Linked DNA regions of Drosophila melanogaster. The protein of the gene in region 1 interacts with the protein of each later gene in a pairwise test. Each region holds a gene or a part of one and is shown on either strand. Other genes may lie near its edges. The genes, in order: mxt, S6kII, CG14367 and eIF4E5.

Region 1 (6,859 bases):
CGGCCTTCTGTAGTCGTTCCAGTTGCTGCTCGTCCAGCTGGTCGCGCGGCAGCTTCCCCAAACGCTGCACCGTTCGCTTCCAGTTGTGGAACTCACGGTTTTTAAAGGGCTTCATGGCCATACGGTACTCCTTCCACTGGCGCTGGCGCTCCTCCTTCGTACCAGGCGGTGCATCCTCGAGCGGCGGTGGTGCCTCTGGCTTCTGTATCCATTGGCCATTGACCTGGACAAATGTGCCGCAGCGCTTGGGCTTCTTGGAGGGCTGCGCTTCCCCGTTTGACGGCGAATTGTTGCCATTGCTTGGCGGTGGGGGCGGAGGCATAAGCCTCGTATCTTTGTCACTGTTGCCGCGATGGTTTACCTTGAATTTCTTGTTATTCTGGTTTGGATTGCTGCGATTGTTTTGTGCTCCCTGCTCCTTGGGTACCAGATTCCACAAGCTGGGGCACTTGGGCATGGGCGGTTGGATTGGTGGTGGTCTATGTTGTGGCGACATCATGTCCTCCCAGAACGGAGGCGGCTGCAGAGGTCGGTGATTGTGATTCCGGCGGGGCCCAGAACCACGTGGTCCTCCAAAGCCCACTGGACCACCGGGGCCCATACTGCTCATGGGACCACAGGGACCCATATTGCTTATGGGACCGCGAGGTCCTCCTGGTCCCATTGGCCCCATGGGGGGACCGCATTGTCCGGGTCCAGGCCCAAAATTGCCTCCAAAGCCCATGTTCATCAGCTGCATAGGAAGTGGAGGCGGTCGATTCATCGGAGGATAGTTCCTGTCCTGGTAGCTTTGCGGACCTCCGCCTCCATGAAAGGCATTGTTGCTATTCGAAGACCAATGTTTACGTCCGTTGCCGTTGTTGTTATTGTTGTTGTTGTTACTATTGTTATTGTTGCTCCGTTGTAGTCCGCTTTTGGTATCCGGTTTCAGTGCATCCTTGCATTTCTTCCAATCTGCAAACGACATTTTCAGCGGCTTAGTTTCAGGCTCATCTTTGCCGGACTCCGGAACGACTTCCTTGGAATCCTCTGGTGCCGCCTCCACGTCCCCGTTTTCAGACATCTCGCACCTTAGAGAGTGGGAATACACTTTATAAATATATCAACTTAATTTTATTTGAGTTTTGCTTAGCGATGGCAAACAAAAATTTCAATAACAACAAATTGAAGGAACAGCCGATGTTTTCTATCGATATTTTCGTGCTTAAAATTTTAGGGAGTTTCCCCTGAAGTATTTTCTTAAGAGTCCTGTTGTTCTTAAAAAAGAACAGTAGTTTCCAAATGTATTCTCTAAACTTTCCGCTATACCAGTAAATCTTCATTTGTTAACTAGTAAGCGATATATTAATGCCCAACGTAATATAATATATATTTAACATTTTCGATCCCATGCAGACACAACCGGCGGGGAATAGTAATTGCCCAGCGTCCAGATACCATAGTGAATTGTTGGTTATCAGCGATAAGTGTCTGATTTCGTAACATTTATTTCATATTTAAATTTAAATTTTAATACGAACACATCTGTGATGCGAAATTGATGTGAGCTTTTTGACTGCGCTTTACGTGAACTGGTCTGGATAGCTGTGGCGCATCTCTAAAATCTAACGTGTTCGATCAGGTGGCAACACCCACCGTAAAAAACGATTTTAGTCGCAGTCGCAGAGATTTTGGTTTTGGTAAGCTCTAGTAATTTATTGGAAATTACGATCCAAAATACACCGTTTTAAGAGACGTTTCAATCGGCCATTAAAGTAAATAATAAGCGCGACGAAGACTAAACATCAAAAGTGTTGAAACTAGAACGAGAGTGCAAAGTCGGTCGCCAGCAAAACGCGTAGTTTGCTTATTTTAACGAAAAGCGGCCAGTGCCATTAAAATATTACTCAATTTCACAGAGAATTTTGGCCGAAAACGGATGCAATATATGGATATATAGACCCTGTTTCCTGAAAGTTAACTTCCTTTTTGTTCTACGCCCAACACGGTCGTCAACTGCGCTGCCATCGTCGACGTCGGCAGAGGCCATTCTTGTTGTTGCTATTCTCGACATATGATTCAATAGAGCGATCGCCTCTCTCTTTCTCCCTCCCACGGACAATTTCAGTTTTTTGTAATATTTCTGTTAGCTGTGTTTTAGTTGCCCATGTTTGTTTGTTCTTGTTGTTGTTGCTGCTGCTGCTGTTGCTGCAGCGGCAGTAAGTGATATTTAAAAAAGAAATGAGTTGTTCGCATGGAGCGAAAGTCGAACTGAAATAACACAAATGGTCGTCCGTTTGTCGTTCCCATTCGATATATGCCAACAATTTTCATCAATTATTTACATATTTTGCTTTTGGAACTTCGCACCGATTAACTGAGCAGAAGCCAGAAGCTCAGAAGGCGCCAATGGGTTAATTTGGCCACTAAACTATAGATAAATCGCGGTGTTATCAGCTAAAGCCGCTTATCAAACGTGCACATCGTTAAGATATACGAGAGCTTTGCGTCGCAATATTCGAGATTCGGTCGGAAACGAGGCCAATCTCCATATCCTAAGAAACCTTTTGGTTGTCCATGCTCTCGGCCATTACTCCCAAGTTCTAATGCAATATAGTCGGCTTTGATCATCCTAGCAGCTGAAAGCATGTATCCAAATAGTACAATAGTTTTAATGTAAACAATACATTTGATCGATAACTAACCTTTCTTGTGTTTACAGGGGGAGGTGCGGAAACAGCTTCTACGATTCATTTTTGATCAATTCTTCAACAACATTTAAACGAACGAATAAGTTAGCAGACCATATAGACTGAAATCAGCAGATCCGGACACCAGGCGGGACAACCTTAAGACTTCTTCACGAGACGATATCGAATCCAACGAATCCCGAGAATGGCTCACACACACCTGGGACGCGCCGTGAAAAACATTGAGGCGCCACGCCCGTTGAAGACACAATCGCGATCGTCGTTGAAGAACAGCTACCTGGTGATCGAGGAGCTAATCCAGTTGATAGACAACGTGACCGTCGGTCTTCAGTCGTGCAACACCACGCCGGAATCGATCACGCTGCTCCTGCACAACCTCCGGGTGCATGGACCGCAACTGGAGGCGGTGTCCAAGGATACACTGGACCGGGCCTTCGTCGTTTTCCGCAACGCTTCGCAGGACGAACGGCTGAATATAACGACGCGCCTCAAGCTGCTCGAACTCATCGAGCTGCGCGCCAAGAGCTGGGACAATGACGACACAATCGCGTACTACAAGTCCAAGCAGCAGATCTCCAACGTGGAGGTGAGTAGAGTACATAGAATCGATCTCACTTTGGAAAACGATCAAATATGTATCGTTGCTTTGCAGCTGCCTTCGGAATACCAGTACGATGCCGGCGTGCAGCCTGGCGCCTTCAGCACCTCCCCCACATTCGGCGTCAGCGGCGGTGTTGGTGGCGTTAACGATGGAGCCGCAGCCGCCGCTGCCGCCGTCTTCAATGCAGCATCTGCAGCTGCAGCCGCCCAAGCTGCGGCCATTGCGGCCGTGGGCACATCCAACCAGCAGCACATGCTGCTGCCGCCCGGTGAGGTCATTCGTAATTCGGGCAAGTTCCCCAAACCGACCAAGATTCCTGGCAAGACGTACTGCAAGGACGAGGTCGTGATTCGCAATGCTGACTCCGGCAAAGGTAAGTTTTTCAATCAGCTGAGGAGTGTTCTGGAGCACACAGATCTACAGAAATGGTTTTCAATAATGTATTCCTCCATTCCCGTGGCCAAAAAGTAATGGGCATCAAGGGGCGTCGCGTGCACATGATCGAGGAGCTAAGCGAAACCATTATATCGTTTCAAAGAGGTAACTCCAGAGAGCTGGTTTTAATTGTGATCCTCACCGCACCCCCATTTCATTTGGCACGCTTATTTAAATCAATTAATGCCCGGTGGCTTCTACAAAATTTACTAATAGAAATTATAAATACGCATGTTCCAGATTTTGTCCATTCAACGACACCACATTAAGCCAAAATTGATCGTTAAAGGCATTTTGAAATCACATATTTTCATACTGTATATATGCATTTTGTTTTTAAATGTTTTCGCATCCCAATTATTTTTCATAAATATAAATGCTTTTTTCGAGAACAATTATGAATGCCTTGTTTTCATTAGTCAACCCGGGTGCCAAGGAGCGTTTGGTGCAGATTACTGGTCCAGCTGAGGATAAAATTAAGTGAGTAAAGTAAATAAATTAAAGCTAATTTACCTTTATGTCAAAATGTTTTAATTCTACGACAGCTATGCCAAACAACTTATGGAGGACACCATTCGTCGGAACGCCTCGCCGGTGCGCCTGGAACCCGCTCCTGCCGTTGGAGGATCCTGCTCCTCGCTTAACTCGTCCAACTCGGACGACGCCATTGTGCAACCAAGAACGCCAACCGGAAGCAGTTTGGCCAACCGGCTAAGCTTTAACTCGGCCCAAAACTTCATGACCGCCACAGCTGCTGCACAGCAGATCTCGCAGCAGATGCACCACCAAACGCATCACCTGCAGCACCAACAGCAGCAGCAGGTCGCCGCAGTAGCCGCCGCAGCAGCAGCGGCGGCACATGCTCAGGCGACAGCCGCTGCCGGTAAAGTCTTGCGTCCCAATCAACAGCTGCTAATGCACTCATATTCCACAAACGATGCTTCCGTAGGTGAATACAAGTTCACGGTCAACGTGGGCCAGCACCTGATCAAGATCACCGGCGACTGCTGCGAACTAGTGCGCGTGAGTAATGTTGAAGTTTTCAATTGTGAAATTTGTTAAATCCCCTGCGATTTCAAGGTGGCCAAACTCGTGCTCGATGACTATTTTAGCAGCTCGGAGTTTCTGGCATCCATTGAGGCTGGCGCCGCCTTCGACGGCACTTCGCTGGTGACCACGCCATCGACTCCGCTTCCCGGAGCCGGGCCGCCGCAATTTTGGCTGCCCGGCACGGACAGTGGCATTGGACTGAATTGCGTTGTTTCCTCGTCAGCGAACAACAATGGTGAAGGCGACGACGAGGTGTTCGCTGAGCCCAGCAATGGAGGATCATCGACTAGCAATCAGAATGGACTGGCCAGATCGCGTCGCAGCCACTTTTCGCGCAAGGAGTCCACGCCGGAGACCAAGGGCGCTCGGGAAAAGGGTGACTTGGACGATTTGGCAGGCACCAATTCCTTGAAAAGCAATGCATGTAAGATTACAATCCTTTTATGCTTAACCAAGTCTTTGATGCTTAAACTTAAATTACAGCTCGCGTTTCTTACGATATTGAACACTTGCTCTACTACTCCATGAGTCCGCACTCGTGGACCCTGCCCACCGACTGGCAAAAGATGCAGGAGACAGCGCCCTCGATTCTGCGCAACAAGGTAATTTCGCCGTTCGATGGCTCACTTGGCCGTACGGCTTACTCTTCGAACATCCCCGATGCTATCATCGCCAGTGCACCTAACTCATCAGTAATAACACATCCGTGGGCTTTAAATGCAATAACCTCCTCCCCGAACACAAATATCATCAGCACCGCCGTTGGACTAGCTGCTGTCGATGCGTCGGCAGACAACAATCCCCTAACCGTCACTAACAAGCAATCAAAAGGGATCTTCGCCGAACGCGAGAACCGTCGCCTTCCCAAAACATCGGCCGTGTCCGATCGAAACCTGTATAACAAGCAATTGCAAATCATAACTAATACTGTGGGTCAATCGGTGGCAACACAAGGAAAGCATCGCCAGTCTAGCTATCAAACATCACAAGTGAAGGCAATTTTTCAACGCTACTGCGAGGACGATGAGTTTTCATTGGCACTGTGCGAAACAGAATCGAATAATAACCGCGTTTATGTGTAATTTCATTTAATTTCATTTAATTTAATTTAATTTTACGTAGCCGGAATACGTATTATTGAATCTCAGTCACAGATAGGCTTTTCTTTTCATGTCAGTATTTTTGCTGTTTTAATTTTATATAACTTATCATTAAGAAAAGGTGAAGCGTGAAGAACTTGATAATGAATCAAGTCAATACATCATTATCATTATCATCATCCAGTCATTAGATTAACGACATACCATCGAAACCAAACCGATCGCTAGTCTTAGAGGTAACAATACATATAATGCATTGAAATTAAAATGTAACTATAGGGAGAATCTGTGTTTTGGCTGTGAAACAGATTAAGTCGTCGCTAAGGATAAGCTGGAAAGGCGGTTGAAACCGCTTAACCGCTAACAAACAAACATTCTCGAATTCAAACCAACATTTACAAATCTGTAATCAATACGATTTATATTAACTAATAAACAGGACTTTCAAAGTCCGTAACAAAGCTTGGCTGGGTTTAACTTACACCACCACACACCCCACACATTGTAAATTATAAATTGTAACTTGTGTTTTACCACCGAAGCATCATAACATCACCACCTAACCACCACTCCAGATGGCTAACTTAGTTACTAAACTGTTCCGTATGTATATATGTTCGTTCATCCCTGGATAGCTTGCGTGTCAATGTTACTTTGAAATCAGATATTAAACCATTTCTTTGTTCGACAACAGGATCTGCAGGATGAGAGCCAGCGCTTCGATGGTGATAAGTATCTGGCCAGCATTAAGACGGCCGCCAAGCGAGACATTGTGGCTGCCGATGAGGTCGAGACTCTGGACGAATAAAGCCATCAATCGAGCGGCTCGAACTGACAATATAGAGTGTCCCGGGGTGAAGTGCCTGCTCCCAGACGGAGCTGCAGTATGCTTCAATGCTTTTGGCCATGGCCACATCTAACAATCGCAAACTCAAAACGACCAAAACAAAACAAACAAAAAAAAAAGAATATTGAAAAATATG
Region 2 (7,768 bases), on another chromosome or scaffold:
GCATGGATACCATTGTGGATCGCAGCCTGAATCCTGAGGAACTCCATCAGGTGGTGACCACCATCGAACATAGCACGAATACCACGAACTTGGCGGGATCGGGCGGTAGTCTGACCAACTCGCAAATCGGCATGCTTCAACGGGATGAGAATCGAAAACAGCAGGAGGACCAGGAGCAGGCGCGCCAGGATGCCCAAAGTCACATCTATTCGAGTCCTGTCTACGATGAGAAGCCGCCGGCGGTGAAACTCCTATCCGCCGCCCTAGACTTGGATGCCCAAAAATCCCAGGCAAACAATGATGACGATAATAAGCCCAATCTTATTTCGCACCAAGAGTTCAAACAACAGCTGCAGGAAGCTATTGCTTCGCGGCAACCAAACCAGGTAGGTCCTACAAAAAGTCAACCAAAATTAATCAATTTGTATCAGTTGAATCACCTAATAGGGCTAGAGAATCTTTAATTGTCCATTTCTGTACTGCCTTGCTCTCATTAATCCTCAGACAATCGAATATTGTACCAAACACATTTTTTCTTCTGTGCAGGTGAATGGCACTAAGAGTGGGGCCACCACTTTGGACTCCAGGATCAGTCGTAAACAGCGCTGTCCACCGGAATTTATTAAGTACAAGGAGGGCAGCGAGGGTGGAGGCAGTGGCTCATCGCTTTCCTCGAAAGATCGGCGCAAGCGCAAGGCGAGCAATGAATGCTGCTCGGCATTTCCACTGCAAATAGTGTTGGGCACTCTCCAGTTGCTCCTGGCCATATCGCTGGTGGCCCTGGGATCACTTCTGATCGTCCGAGAGGCAGCGCTCTCACTGGCGGGATGCGGCATCTGGACGGGATTGATAGCAGCCGTTACGGGCTCCCTTGGAGTGGTGAGCATGCGCAAAACCCAGACAGCGTTTTTGGCCCTCAGTTTGGTCTGCATCGCCAGCAGCACCCTGGCTCTGGCTATTTCCGGCGTGGGATTGTCAAGGGACCTCAACAGGATGGCGGAGCAAAAGGGTGAACAGGTAAAGCCGGGCTCTTCGCATTGAGGCATGTTTTTTTAATGGTTTCATCCATTCTAGTTCGACTTGATCGATACCAACAGCGAGGTTTCCGCTGCCTGCGGCCTAATTTTTGCCCTGTTTCTTCATTTTGTGGTCAGTATTGTATCCGTCTATCGTTGCGCCCTTCAGATTTGCACTAAGTAAGTAAGCTACTCCTACTACTCCTACTTTTATATATGAAAAGTGGTTGTTGTCCACTTTTGAAGCAATAATAATACTGAATCTATAAGCACAATGTTTTTTTTTTTATTGTTTTTAAAAGCGCTTGTACGATATCCATTAGTTTTTTACCAATTGAATTTGGAATGTTGCGGCTAATATAAGTAAGTAAGTCTGCAAAACCGTTGTATTTATTTAGCAAAGTTTCCGGAAATCAATATAAAAGGGATATAGAAATTTATAATAACGGTTTTTAGACGGTTTACACAAGATAACTTGTTTCGTGACGACGTTTTCGTAATGAATTGGTATTTTTCGCGTTTGGTATATTGCTAGACACGGTCACACGGGCCAAATCATTCTCAAATAAAACTATATTTATATGTTTTTTTTTTTTTAATTGAGTTATATAGACTTTTAAAACCGAAAGAATGTATTAAAAGTGTAAACAAAAATTTGCTGAATACGCACAGTAAAAACATCGGCTGCAAAAAGTAAATCGATGTTTTCGGAAAACTGAAACTATCGATGTAATCGATGGTAACATCGATTTTTTTGCAGCTCTAAAAAAACTTTATTGTGAATGTGTAAATAATAGTGATAAGAAGCAACACAGCTGTGCGGATTGCGAAGCGGATAGTAAAGCAGACGGCGTACGAAACGTGGGCGCATTAGGAAAGCGCTGCTTGTTGGCCGTAGGAGCAGCAGGGAAACCAGAGAAATCCGGAGAGGCAACAGCGCAGTCGACTGCGACGCCCACGCAGCGGAAGTAATAAAAAAGAAAAGTGAAATCGGAAGTAGGGAGAGTTCGGTGGAGGAGGAGCAGCAGGAGGAGTTGGAAACGCAGGGGGAACTCGGGCTCTAGCATTGTGCATCAGGATCTGGAAACAAAGGAACCGCTAGGAGCAGTTGCCTCACAACGCTAGCAGCCACCGAAGTCATGCCGCTGGCCGATTCGCAAAAGGATCTCCGCCAGCAGCCTCAGCAGCAGCAGCAGCAGCAGCATGTGTCCTCCACCAGCAGCAGCAACAATGCGGAGCAGCAATGCAGCAGCAGCGGATTGGGTCTGCAGCTGCGCCAGCGCATGCAAATTACCTCGTCCGGCTGCAGCAGCCTGGCGGTCACGCCCATGGAGCACACGCCCACCGAGGACGATGAGAGTGGCGGAGGCAACAGCGGTGTCACTTCCTCGGTGACCACTGTGACATCATCGCAACGCCGCCAGCAGCTGCAACAGGTGCAACAGCAATCTGCTCTGCAAGCGGCCCTCGAGCAGCATCACATCTCACCAACAGCAGACTTGGATTCCGCTAGGAAAAGGCCGACGCATCGAACCTTGTGCCCGCCGCCAGAACTTATGGAGCTGAGTGATTCCGAGTCCCAGGGAGGCGTGGAAACTGGCGGTAGGAGAGAAGGGGCTACTGGGCGAAGTGCACCTGATTTAGAAGACACCGAGCCCCTATATGAAACAGAAAACGAATTCGAGCTTAAGGAAGTCATCAAGGAGGGTCACGACAAGGCCGATCCTTCCCAGTTCGAGCTCCTACGGGTTCTGGGCGAAGGTAGCTTTGGAAAGGTGTTTCTAGTGCGAAAGATCATAGGCAAAGATGCAGGAACACTCTATGCCATGAAGGTGCTCAAAAAGGCCACCCTAAAAGTAAAAGATCGCGTAAGGAGCACAAATGAACGAAAAATACTAGCGGACGTGGGTCATGCTTTCATCGTACGTCTTCACTATGCCTTCCAAACTCCCGGAAAACTCTACTTGATACTGGATTTTCTTCGTGGCGGTGATCTGTTTACCCGTCTATCCAAAGAAGTAATGTTTACGGAAGAAGATGTCAAGTTCTATTTAGCGGAACTGGCGCTAGCTATGAATCACCTACACACATTGGGCATTATCTACAGGGATCTGAAACCGGAAAATATTCTACTGGACGAGCATGGCCATATAGCCTTGACGGACTTTGGTCTATCCAAGCAGCCTTTGGATGGCTCAAAAACATATAGCTTTTGTGGAACCGTAGAATACATGGCGCCGGAGATCGTGAACCGAAAGGGACACGATTTTGCCGCTGATTGGTGGAGTTTCGGGGTGCTCATGTACGAAATGTTAACGGGGAATTTACCCTTTCATGGCCAAACCCGCCAAGAGACTATGAATCAGATCCTTAGAAGTAAGCTGGGCATGCCGGAGAATTTGTCGCCAGAGGCGCAATCCCTGCTACGTGCTCTCTTCAAAAGAAACCCCCAGAATCGTTTGGGTGCGGGTGCCCAAGGAATTCTGGACATCAAGGCGCACTGCTTTTTTGCCACCATCGACTGGGTGAGATTAGAACGAAAGCAGGTGCGTCCGCCTTTCATACCGGCGGTTAGCCGTGACGATGCCTTTTACTTTGATGTGGAGTACACCTCAAAGTCCCCCAGGGATTCTCCGGGTGGCCCGATCTCCGCATCTGCCCATGAGATCTTCCGCGGGTTCAGCTTTGTGGCTCCTGTCCTTCTGGAAGGTCAGTGTGCTGGCTCGAATATGTGCTCCACCAGCGCCAGTCCTCTGCATAGTATAGCTCCTATTCCTGCTGCTCCAGTGGGAGCCCCTCGAACATTACCTGGTGTTCTTCCCGGAAACTTCCATGCGGAATATAATCTACTGCAAGAACTGGGACGTGGAACCTTTTCAGTTTGTCGGTTGTGCGAGCATCGAGCCTCCAAGAAACATTACGCAGTAAAAGTAATCGAAAAGGCAGCTGTGGCCGCAGCATCCACATCCACTTCTGCCGATTGTTGGGAGGAGGTGGAGATTATGCTGAGGTACGGCAACCACCCAAATATCGTCACTCTGTACTCTGTTTACGAGGATGCGGGGTCCGCATATCTTGTGATGGAGCTGCTTAAGGGTGGCGAGCTTCTCGATCGGATACTTGCCGTGGGCCAGATGTGCGAGAGTGAGGCCAGCGCGGTGTTAAGGACAATTGCATCTGCGGTAGCATATCTCCATGAACATGGCGTGGTCCATCGAGATCTTAAGCCTTCAAATATGATATATGCCAGTATGCGGCAAACTCCCGAGACCCTAAAGCTCTGCGATTTGGGTGAGTGCGGAGCGGAACTAGTTAAATATATTTTATTATAGCCTTGCAGTAAATTTTCCAATTGCTGACAAACATGATTCACTTTAAAAGCTAAACTTTCGTAATTTTTAATTCCTTTAACTATTATTTGTTTTCTAAGTTACTTTGTTATTTGCAATTTTAAAGGTTTCTTTTCTCCAAACAGAAGGTTTTTCATTTTAAGATCTTATTTAGCCAAAGTTCCATCCTATTGCAATTGAAATCATTTGATAATATTTAAATTCAGAAAGCATTTATTTCTGCAAGGCTATATATTTTTCTGTGCGAGTATTTCTTGTTGGTAGAGCAGGAGTAACCTTCCGATTTCCGCTTAGGTTTCGCGAAGCAGCTGCGCGCGGACAACGGCCTCCTGATGACGCCATGCTACACAGCCAATTTTGTGGCTCCCGAGGTTCTAAAGAGACAGGGCTATGACCTGGCTTGCGACATCTGGTCGCTCGGTGTGCTGCTTTACATCATGTTATCCGGCCGGACGCCTTTCGCCAGCACTCCAAATGATTCACCGGACGTAATACTGAAGCGCATCGGATCAGGACAAATTGACTTCACAAGCAGTCGCTGGGCACTGATCAGTGTGCCGGCCAAAGAACTTTTGCGTCAGATGCTACACATAGTACCGGAGAATCGGCCGACGGCGGCGCGAATACTTGAGCACGACTGGCTGCGGGAGCAATTCGCCGGCGGCGTACAGCTTACAGAGTATGCGGTGGCGCCCGGATCCCAACTTTCGCTGGGCGCCCAGCAGCAGCAGCAGAATCACATCTCCATGGCCTTAAGAGGCGCTGTTGATGCCACTTTCCGGGCTATTGCCATACCCCAGGCGGCGAATGTGGGACCCGTAGAACTTTCCATGCTCGCCAAGAGGCGGGCCAAAGATCGAGCCAACCTGCACTCCTAATCCTGGGCGGCTGCATGGTGTCCGCGGCGCCAGGCCAAGCGGCAGATAGTCCGACTACTTTTCCGAATCTATAGTATTCTAATCCAATGCTGCTGTGCCAATCCGCGTCGTCTTGTCAAGGACAATGCGCAGAAGCTTGGTTCACATCCACAAACGCTGGGCAATCCTCGCCAACGCTGCCGCAGCGCCAAGCTGCGTGTGGTTTAGGTTTTGGGGGAATCGGCCTAACCTAAAGTATTTGACAAGTGTTAATTATTTATTTTATATGAAAGCATGCCAATATGCCAAGGCCATAACGCACTGTGCGGGGCATCTATATACACATATATATAACTATACAAATACTGATATACATCTATATATAGCTATTTATATAACGAATCCTAAAGCAAGGGCCTAGAGAGCGCGTGTGAATGTGGCGCCAGGATCATCCCAGATGATTCCTGAAACCACATTATTTATCCCAAACTGGAAATTAAAAAAAAGCCTCTCGCCCAAGTTTACATATTTTTAATTAAATTAATCGTAGCTAAATTTTTCAACATCACCGTGTTATTGTTGCTTAATTAAATTAATTAAAATGAAAAAAAAAATGGAAAAAAGTATTAGCAAAACAAACAAAAATTAAGAATAAAAGCCGCAATCCTTTTATATAATAATAACTTTTTTCGCCAAACTATAAAGGAAGAACAAAGAACCCAAAAAAAACTGTGTAGAAAGATAAGAAAATCAAACCACAAGAGTTTCCACAATTCTTACTTGGAATGTCAATTTGCACAATGAAATATGAAACTAAGCAAAAGATAAACATAACTACCATATTATACAGAATGTGTACATAAAGCGGAAACTGTGCTTTTCGGGTTTATAAGGCAAAGGATATTAGAAAAGAGTATTTTATTAATAATTCCCTAAACAATAAAAACCGACGTTCTTTCCAACACTGCACAAGGGTGCATATTGTTATTTAATTGTAATTAAGAAACGTAAATCCTGCTAACTTGTCTTACAGTCGCGAAACGCACAGTTTAGTTGTAATAACGCCGGGGAAACAGTTGTGACAACATCAAATTGGGTTTCCATTTTGTTTGCTAACGTCTTCCAACAGAAATTATATCAAACAATATACCTTTTTGCGCTGTAACCAGATATAGAAAGTTCCGACTTACCATTGGATGATTTAGAACCGAAACCGCGATATATTCCATCATACTCGTACTGAATACAAATAGGATAGCGTCGTATAAACGACTTGGGTTAATGCAGAGAATTCCATTTGTTTGTGCTAGTTTCTCTAAAAACTGCACGATCATCAGTTCCCAACAACTTGTTTCGACTCTTCGAAGACAATTCCAATTTTGTTGTATTTTTGCCAAGGAAAACTTGTTAAAATTATGCTAGAGGGAAATATACAAAAAAAAAAAAAGAAAATACAAGCAAAGTGGAACGAAATTGAATAAATTATGTAGAAGAGCCATGTGAATCCTTAGAAGCTATGTATGCCACTTGAAAAGCAGAAGTTTCTTGTTTGCGAGCTTGTGTGTGTGCATAAGAGGCTGTGTGTGTGCTTCTTGTAAGTGCATGTGTGTGTGTGCTAAAGGATTATTGTGCTGTGCCACTACTGAACTTACTGCTACCAAAAATAAAACAATAACTTCATATACATATTTACACCACCTAAACAAGGTTAGTAAAACTTAGAAATTTTTTAAAAAAGGATAACATCCCTTGAATAAAACTGTATTTTCGTGGTGTTATTAAAAGGAGTTGGAGGGGGAAAATGGTATGATTATCCTAAAGTACATATATAATTAGCTAGCTGCGGAGGGAAAACAATGTGTACACATTGACATATAATATAGAAAATATTTAAGAAGGATCTTGAGATGAACATTTCGCCTAATAGTTGTCACGATAAACTTTTGCAAAATATGTTGCGTCTACAGCAATGATTTATACTTAATTACCTTGTTTTGAAATGACGACAACCAAATTGAAGGGATACGTCGTTTCCCTGCTTCGTTTTTTAACAGATTCATACACAAATTATAAAACGAAGTTGAGACAGGCAGAAAAAGAATTTTAGTCCACGGGCTGATGAGAAATCTAATCCAGCGATTAGATTAAAACTCATGTATACAAAAGTGGCCTACTATGATAAAAACTGTAATCATTTATCAATAATTCCGAACGGTCTCTTACAAAAATGTTCGGGTTGCACAAAAAGGACAGAGACAACAGATAGTTTAAGCATACAATACAAGCAACCCACTTTAAAGCCAACTCTCGACTAAATTCCCCAAGAACATACATATATATCTTAATCATATATATGAATGCGTGAATATATTTTCTTAGTAGATTTTAACAGCTTCCAGACTATACATACATTCAAATGATTGAATTCCGATATGAATCATTTAATTAATAAACATATTCAACGAAACTGATTCGAAATTATTGTTAAGTTGAATTTTTCAAACCAAGCAGAAGGAACCTAATTGAAAAACAAATAACCAATTCG
Region 3 (3,779 bases), on another chromosome or scaffold:
ACGGAGTTTGGTGTCTTGAATACACTGCGTGAACTAAACATTGCAAACAATCGGTGGGTATTGGGAAATATCTTTTCTAAACTATGTAGCTTTATTTAAACTTCCCACTTGTTTATTTTCAGCTTTCCGTGTATTCCCAACTGTGTGTACGAGCTGCAAGGCCTGGAGATCCTCATTGCCAGTGAGAACCACATAAAAATGTTAAATGTATCGGGTCTGCAGAACATGCGACGTTTGAGCACATTGGATTTGCGCAATAACGACATCGAGACAGTGCCACCAATTTTGGGGAACCTGACAAACATAACGTAAGATCCTTGCTGGGGATATATATTGTTTGGAGCCAAACTTATTTTCTCTGTATATTGCAGTCACTTGGAGCTGGTGGGCAATCCATTTCGACAGCCCCGCCACCAAATCCTGATGAAGGGCACTGACGCCATCATGTCGTATTTGCGCGATCGCATACCCACATAGAAGAGCAATTCACACCGTTTTTTGAGAAACACTTCACTAGCAATATGTTTATTTTGAGGAATAGCGTAATGGAAATTGATAGATCCGCTCGACCATGCCCACAAACAATCAATCTATGGATTGGCTGTTTGTGGACATGGATGAGGGGTGGCGTTACAAGTACAACATACGACACACACCGTGCATCAACCAACCAAACTAGTCTGCATGCCACAATACCTAATGCACGTTGTTAATCCTGGCTGAGTATCTGCAATAAATGGGAATAGTAGGGAAAAAAGTGCGTCCTTTCTTTCACTTCTGCTCAACCACTTCGCTGCGCAAGCGCTTGGCAAGATTGCGTCTGAGCTGCAGGGCAGCGTTCTCCTCAGCTTCTAGTGGTGCCGGCATGGAGAGCTCCTTAGTCTGGCCGCCATTCTCGAGCAGCTGTTGGGCCACCAACGCGGAGCTGGGACGTGCTCCTTCCGGTGCATGTGGAGTACCGCGGGACATGGTCTCTTGCAGTTGCTTTGCACGCGTCTGCTTCTTTATCTCCACAATCTTGTCACGCTGTTGGCGCAGGTACTCCTGCCGCGAGACAACATCACTGGGGTCCACACGATCCTCCTGCTCGAAGAACAGATTCAGGCGCTGGAACTTGTCGTTAACCAGCTCCAGATTGGGCTCCTGCTCTGGAGTTAGGGCCGCTTCGGGGCTCTCCAGTTCGTCAGACACCGTCTTGGCTATCATTTGTTCCACCTCGGAGGCGGTATCCCTGTTCAAAGTATAATGTTCATATATAATATATATATGCGATATAGAATAATGACCAAAAAACAAGAAGTATTGATTACTAATTACCAAAACCCGTGTACAATTTGGTTGGCAAAGTGCCTACAATTGCATAAGACATCATTACCCACCCTGGATCCGAGCTAGCGTCCGCACTGCGGTCATCCCCCTCCTCGACGCCACCAGGGGCTAATTGATTTTTCTCTATGAGATCCAGGGCCTGCAGCTGAAGCTCCACGTTGCGTTGCGTCATCATCCGTATGAATATCTTCAGATCGTTGGCGGCCCATATCTGAAAGATGACATCTTGGAGACACGACTGTGTGAGATCGTGCGACCGCACATACCTGCTGGAAAAGCACCTGGTGGAAATGAAAGGGATTCTCGCCCTGACCCTGCTGCCTACCCTCCAGACAGGCCATTTCGAACTGCTCCGGTGATATCTGCATCTCCTCCATGAAGCTGCCGAGCATGTAGTCCACCAGATTCTTGTATTCCTCGTGTATCTGCAGTATGTCCGGATTGTTCTCATCCAACTGCTGGTTGGGATCGAAGACTGCACCAAATCCCTGCGTTACTGGCGATTACATTTTCTGAGTGGACTTCTCACCTAAGGACTTTTGCTCTATGAACGTCTGAAGCGGAGCATTCCAAATGGGCCCGTGCAGGAAGCACACCAGCGAATCGAAAACCCAGGAGTCTTCCACCGACATTTTAGCTACAATTGAAAGAAGTGACTAAACTGCATAGTCGACATTTGTTTGGTCCTTGAATCGGTTGCCATGGCAAATGAAAAACCACCCAGCACCAAACACCTGACAGTCAGGTATTTGCTGCTATATTGAATAAAATAACAACTTGAGAGCTTTGCCATTTGTTTCTGTTTAAAAACTATTAAAAACTATTATTTAATTTACTCATAATAATAATATAGAGTTATATATATCGCATTTTACGCACGGATGTTTTAACAACTAAATAAAATATTCAAATTATAGACGTAATGGGTATGTGTTAGGATTAGGGATTAGACAGCATATCATATACAATACACGATTCATATAAATACTATGTATAAACTATAGTGTTGTCGCTTTACGTTTACGCTTAGTTTTCGTTATCGTTTTCATTATCATTTTGTTTTGTTTTCGTTTCTGTTTCTTGTTGTTATCCTTGTTCTTGTTAATGCTGCTCAATCAAACAAACAAAAACATCAACTTGGAAGGACAAATGTTTGGATACACGTATTCCCCGTCTATTTTATTGGTGTACTATCATAGGTATAGATCGTGGACTTCGGGAGTGGGAACGATCGGTTGCTCGGGGGAAACCGTTTGCAGTGACAAGTTCTTTAAACACTAAAATAAATAAATGTAGTACAGTACGCAACGCACATGGCAAATACGATTATTAACAAATAACTTTATTACTTTCTGTCAGTGTAGCTGTGGGATGTCAATTGGTTTCAGTGTGTGAGCGAGCGTATGAGTGTGGATTGAATTGGATTGGATTGGTTCCAAGTGAGCCCTACTACATTCGTTAAATACAAATTAATATTATAGTTAAATACGAAAAAAACTTACTCGAAAACTCAAGAAGACTATTTTACTTAAGACTTTATTTTATTGTTATCTCTGCTTGCTGATGTCTGTTTGCCCCACATTAGTTTAACTTTACGTCCTATTTGTTATCATTATCATTAATAATTTATTGATGTGTGTTGTGTTTTTGTTTGTGTGTTTCAATAATGCAAGGATAGCGCAACAATTGTTTGTAATTACACAGTCAATTACACAGACAACACATCTCAAGACTCTGGATTTCGAACAGCACGATAATGTGCAAAGATTTCGATATCTCCAAGTGCAAATATATGCGTTTAATGTCGGCGTCAGTGGTGCAAGGGCAGTTATCAACTAATCGCGCATTGAGAGTGACTAAATTATATACAAGGTTCATTGGGTTCAAGTGTTATCTGCATTTAACTCAAGGGGCCGGCTAACAAACTTCGTCAAGTTGGCCCTGGCAATCTGGTTGATATTCAGAAAACAATCGCAATTACACAAAAAACAGAAGCAATCCTAATGGAAAAAAAAACATTTTACTGCTGTGGGAATAGTTTAAATTTTAAAATTAAAAACATCTATTTACAGCACTGCTTGCAATAGAAACTTTCATAAAATGCTTTCGCGATAAGAATTATTTAATGAAATTGTCAAGTGAAAACAGCGCTGTATCGTGATAGTGATAGTACAATTGGCAGAAAATCCATCTCAATGGTGAGAAGGATCGTAAAAATGGTTAAGTCTAGGCTTTAGAACTAAATACACCCTTTTGCAATTGTTATTTAAATATCGACACGAAAGTATTGCACAAACATTCTGGGCCAGCAGCCAACTTCACAGGATCTGTTAACTCATACGATCTCATACGATAGACATTGCAAATGGATGTGCTGGCGCTGGCTGTATACAAATCTCCCTCACCACCTGACCACACCTCCATTGCGCTGGCGCTGCTGCTGCTGTTCA
Region 4 (3,364 bases), on another chromosome or scaffold:
ATCAATCCCTAAGTATTCTAAATCACTTTATAATCCTAAATTTCAGACCGAAACCAATTGCGAGATGTACCGAGCGGTGATGGAGGAGGTGGCCCGCTTCTTTGAGCGCTACCAGTTGCAGCAACAACTCCAGCAGACCCAACGCAATGGAGAGCAGATTGCCCGCTCCAAGAGTCTGCATCATGTCCACGGAGTGGGCAACACCTCCCTGCAGAGCGATGCTCGGGATGATGACGCCTCCAGCGGCGGATCAGCTTCATATCTACGCGCCCGGAGCAGCACCAATTTGATGTTGAATAAATCAATGCATGCCATGGACGAGGAGCACAATTACGAGACGATTGCACCAGCTGGAAGCTATAATGCCTTCAAGGATTTTACATGGTAAGGGGAGATCAATAGCAGTGCTAATAATTTTCAAACAATTAATAACGAAATGTCTTCTCTCTGCCAAAGGCGTCGATCCCCGAAGAAGTCTGGAGGCAGTGGCGGTTGCAAGTCACGTCTATCGGCTCCTGAGGCAGCCGAGGAAAAGCTGAATCAGGAGGCCTTTCGTTTGGCCAGAACCATAAGGAATCTTTTGCACACCTCGGAACAGCAACCAGATCTCACGCAGCCGCGCCACTCGCTCGCTTCCATTTCATCGCTGCCCTCGGGAAATCACCGCCTATGCAAGGGGAAAACCAGTTCGGTGATGACACTACTGACGCCACCATTGCACAATTCCACCAGTATCATGAGTGCCACACTGGAGACTCCATCACCGGGCGGGAAATCAAATGCGGAACTCATCTTTCTGCGGGCCAACAACATGCGCGACTCGAGGCTATCGTTGCGCAGCTCCACCGACAGTTCCGTGCATTCCACCATCTCGTCGACGGCATCCTCCTCCTCGAAAGTGGAAACGGATGAGGAGACGCAGACACAGACCACCGCCAGCAACACAGCCATCAGCAATAGCAATAACAAAACCACCAGCAATAAGCAGAGCGGTTCCAGTACCGAGGATGAGAGTGGCTTCAGTTCGATTAGCTCCTTTCACGATGTCGGCTTGCCCCTGAGTTCCACCTTGATGAATGGAAACCAGCGACGCCTGTCCATGTCCTCGGACAGCAGGAACTCCACACTAAAGTCCGGATTAAATATGGTGGGGCTGCCCATGCAAAATCAGACTCAAGTTCAAGTACAGGTTCAAGCTCAGATATCAACCGCTCCATCGCCCTCGAAAACCTATCGCAATGCGAATCGCTACCAGCGCTTCTCCACTTTGTCCAACGAGGATGCAGCCGCTGTTTTATGGGTCTAGACGGGTGGATGATTCAAAACCAGCCTTGAGATAATTTATTAACGTATTTCTAAAAGAATTGAGAATCTTTTCAAATATGGTTACGAAAACCGTGTTTTTTTTTATTTTGAACACCCCGTAGCTGTTTCGATTTGTTTTCTCTAGTGCCTCCGCTTAGTGTTTAATTGACCATTGGAATAGAGTGCATACATTTTCATTTTGTATGTTATTATTTTTTTTTTTAAGGACCAAGCGCGCATTTCTATGTTAACAATATGTAAATTGATTTGTCTTAAGTTTTGCAGTATTTATAAATGAATAAAAATAATTTATATTAAAAGAAAAAACCAGCATAGTATGCTTACACCCAGGTGTCATTGTCATTTCATTTCCTTCTTTTCGACAGGTTTCGTTTAGGTCTAGAAAAATGTGCTAAAGTATTTTTGGTTATTAGTAAGCAATTCCCACTCGAATCGCGACAAAATTCGTTGAGAACACAGCCGTCAGCAAATAAATTAAGGTTACCTGTTCGTATCGAAAAAAAAAAAACAAGTCAACCAACAACATGGCCAGTGCACAAGTGCAAAGTTTTGATATTATGAAGCAGCAGGATCAGCAACATCAGCTGAATAGTATCCATAAGCATCATCATCACCACGAAGGTGTTCCACTGGAGAGCAATAGCCCAGAACCTATCGATGAAGAGATATACCAAGTCGAGTACAAGCATCCTTTGGAGCATGTGTGGACTTTGTGGTATTTGGAAAACGATCGCACCAAGCACTGGAAGGACATGCTAAACGAGATTACCGAGATTGACAGTGTGGAGACCTTCTGGAGCTTGTACCATACCATCAAGACCCCAGCGGAGCTGAAGATTGGATGCGATTACTCCGTGTTCAAGAAGGGCATAAAGTACGAATAAATCATTGTTCATTGAGAGATGCTAACTTAAATCCTCTACTCCCAAAGACCCATGTGGGAGGATGAAGCCAACATCAAGGGTGGTCGCTGGCTGGTCACCGTGAGTAAGAGTGCCAAAGCGGAATTGGATCAAATTTGGCTGGACATTCTACTGCTGATGGTGGGCCAAAATTTTGAATACTCCGACGAGATCTGCGGAGCTGTCATCAATATACGTAACAAGAGCAACAAAATCTGTAAGTTTATCAAATGTGTTCTGCACATTGATAAAAAACTGTATCTATTACAGCGGTTTGGACTGCCAACGGGAGTAACGAAATGGCCATTCTGGAGATCGGCCAGAAGCTGAAGATACTCCTTCATTTGCAATCGCATAGTTTGCAGTATCAACTTCATTCCGATGCAATGTCCAAATTCAATTCGGGCGTCAAATCGGTTTATACACTCTGAAAGCGATTGTTTAGGTCCTCTACGTTAGTATATTTTTATTTTTGTACACCAGATTCGTAAGTGTGGAAGATATGATTGGCTTGGTGTATATGAATATTTACTTGGAATTGCCCCTACAAAATTGTTCTATAGACTAAATTAAAAACCTAATTTTCTATGCGCAACAATTGCATCTTTTCGGGTGAGATTGTGGTAACTGTCGAAGTTTGTGTAATTCGTTGCCTACTTTGCAGCTTCAAAGCTAAGAATAAAAAATGCTTTGATTTAAAAATGTTTTCCTTTAATCATTGTTCATATATTAACTTAAACATCTTCATGCTTTGAACGCCTTACGACTTAGGGTCGTAATTGCCTACTCAAGCAAAATCGTTGAGTTATAATCAATATGGTAAGATAGGGTTTTTAAAAAATTTACTCAGTAAACATTCACAGCTTGTTGCGGTGTGGCGATCATCCGACCGAAAACCATCCGAATCGATCGTTCGGTGCGTGCGTGAATTCGATCCCTAGTCACTGCAATGAGTAGTTGATTACATTTAGCGACGCGACACAATTATACGGGCACGGGAGTACACATATGGAGAACTATTTACAAGTTAATCATGATCAATCGACAGCTCGGGCAAACGCTTCAACATTTGCGAGCCTTCCTATCGACAGGTGCAACTTAACAATACATTTTACAATCTAAACAATATTGGACGC

What was found.
Region 2: the proteins of mxt (region 1) and S6kII interact in a two-hybrid assay, tested with the Drosophila melanogaster proteins (one large-scale study listed by BioGRID).
Region 3: the proteins of mxt (region 1) and CG14367 interact in a two-hybrid assay, tested with the Drosophila melanogaster proteins (one large-scale study listed by BioGRID).
Region 4: the proteins of mxt (region 1) and eIF4E5 interact in a two-hybrid assay, tested with the Drosophila melanogaster proteins (one large-scale study listed by BioGRID).

What each region holds. Positions count from the first base shown.
Region 1 is NT_033779.5:4,842,059-4,848,917, reverse strand, and holds mxt (mextli), read left to right. Parts: upstream 1-1,622; 5' UTR 1,623-1,679; exon of another isoform or gene 1,680-1,754; intron 1,755-2,153; exon of another isoform or gene 2,154-2,202; intron 2,203-2,567; exon of another isoform or gene 2,568-2,639; intron 2,640-2,701; 5' UTR 2,702-2,874; coding exon 2,875-3,276; intron 3,277-3,342; coding exon 3,343-3,664; intron 3,665-3,759; coding exon 3,760-3,831; intron 3,832-4,145; coding exon 4,146-4,206; intron 4,207-4,271; coding exon 4,272-4,749; intron 4,750-4,806; coding exon 4,807-5,200; intron 5,201-5,259; coding exon 5,260-5,858; 3' UTR 5,859-6,334; downstream 6,335-6,859. Other genes in the region: CG11927 (uncharacterized protein), read right to left, coding at 1-1,063. UniProt on the Drosophila melanogaster protein: Plays a role in promoting translation.
Region 2 is NC_004354.4:22,528,196-22,535,963, forward strand, and holds the start of S6kII (ribosomal protein S6 kinase II), read left to right. Parts: upstream 1-1,768; 5' UTR 1,769-2,155; coding exon 2,156-4,307; intron 4,308-4,660; coding exon 4,661-5,244; 3' UTR 5,245-7,768. Other genes in the region: CG17600 (uncharacterized protein), read left to right, coding at 1-386, 547-1,017, 1,075-1,196.
Region 3 is NT_033777.3:13,692,235-13,696,013, reverse strand, and holds CG14367 (uncharacterized protein), read right to left. Parts: upstream 1,962-3,779; coding exon 1,859-1,961; intron 1,805-1,858; coding exon 1,596-1,804; intron 1,541-1,595; coding exon 1,380-1,540; intron 1,232-1,379; coding exon 772-1,231; 3' UTR 501-771; downstream 1-500. Other genes in the region: f-cup (flyers-cup), read left to right, coding at 1-53, 123-308, 372-477.
Region 4 is NT_037436.4:7,893,189-7,896,552, forward strand, and holds eIF4E5 (eukaryotic translation initiation factor 4E5), read left to right. Parts: upstream 1-1,691; 5' UTR 1,692-1,850; coding exon 1,851-2,200; intron 2,201-2,257; coding exon 2,258-2,445; intron 2,446-2,498; coding exon 2,499-2,659; 3' UTR 2,660-2,821; downstream 2,822-3,364. Other genes in the region: CG32365 (uncharacterized protein), read left to right, coding at 47-384, 457-1,306.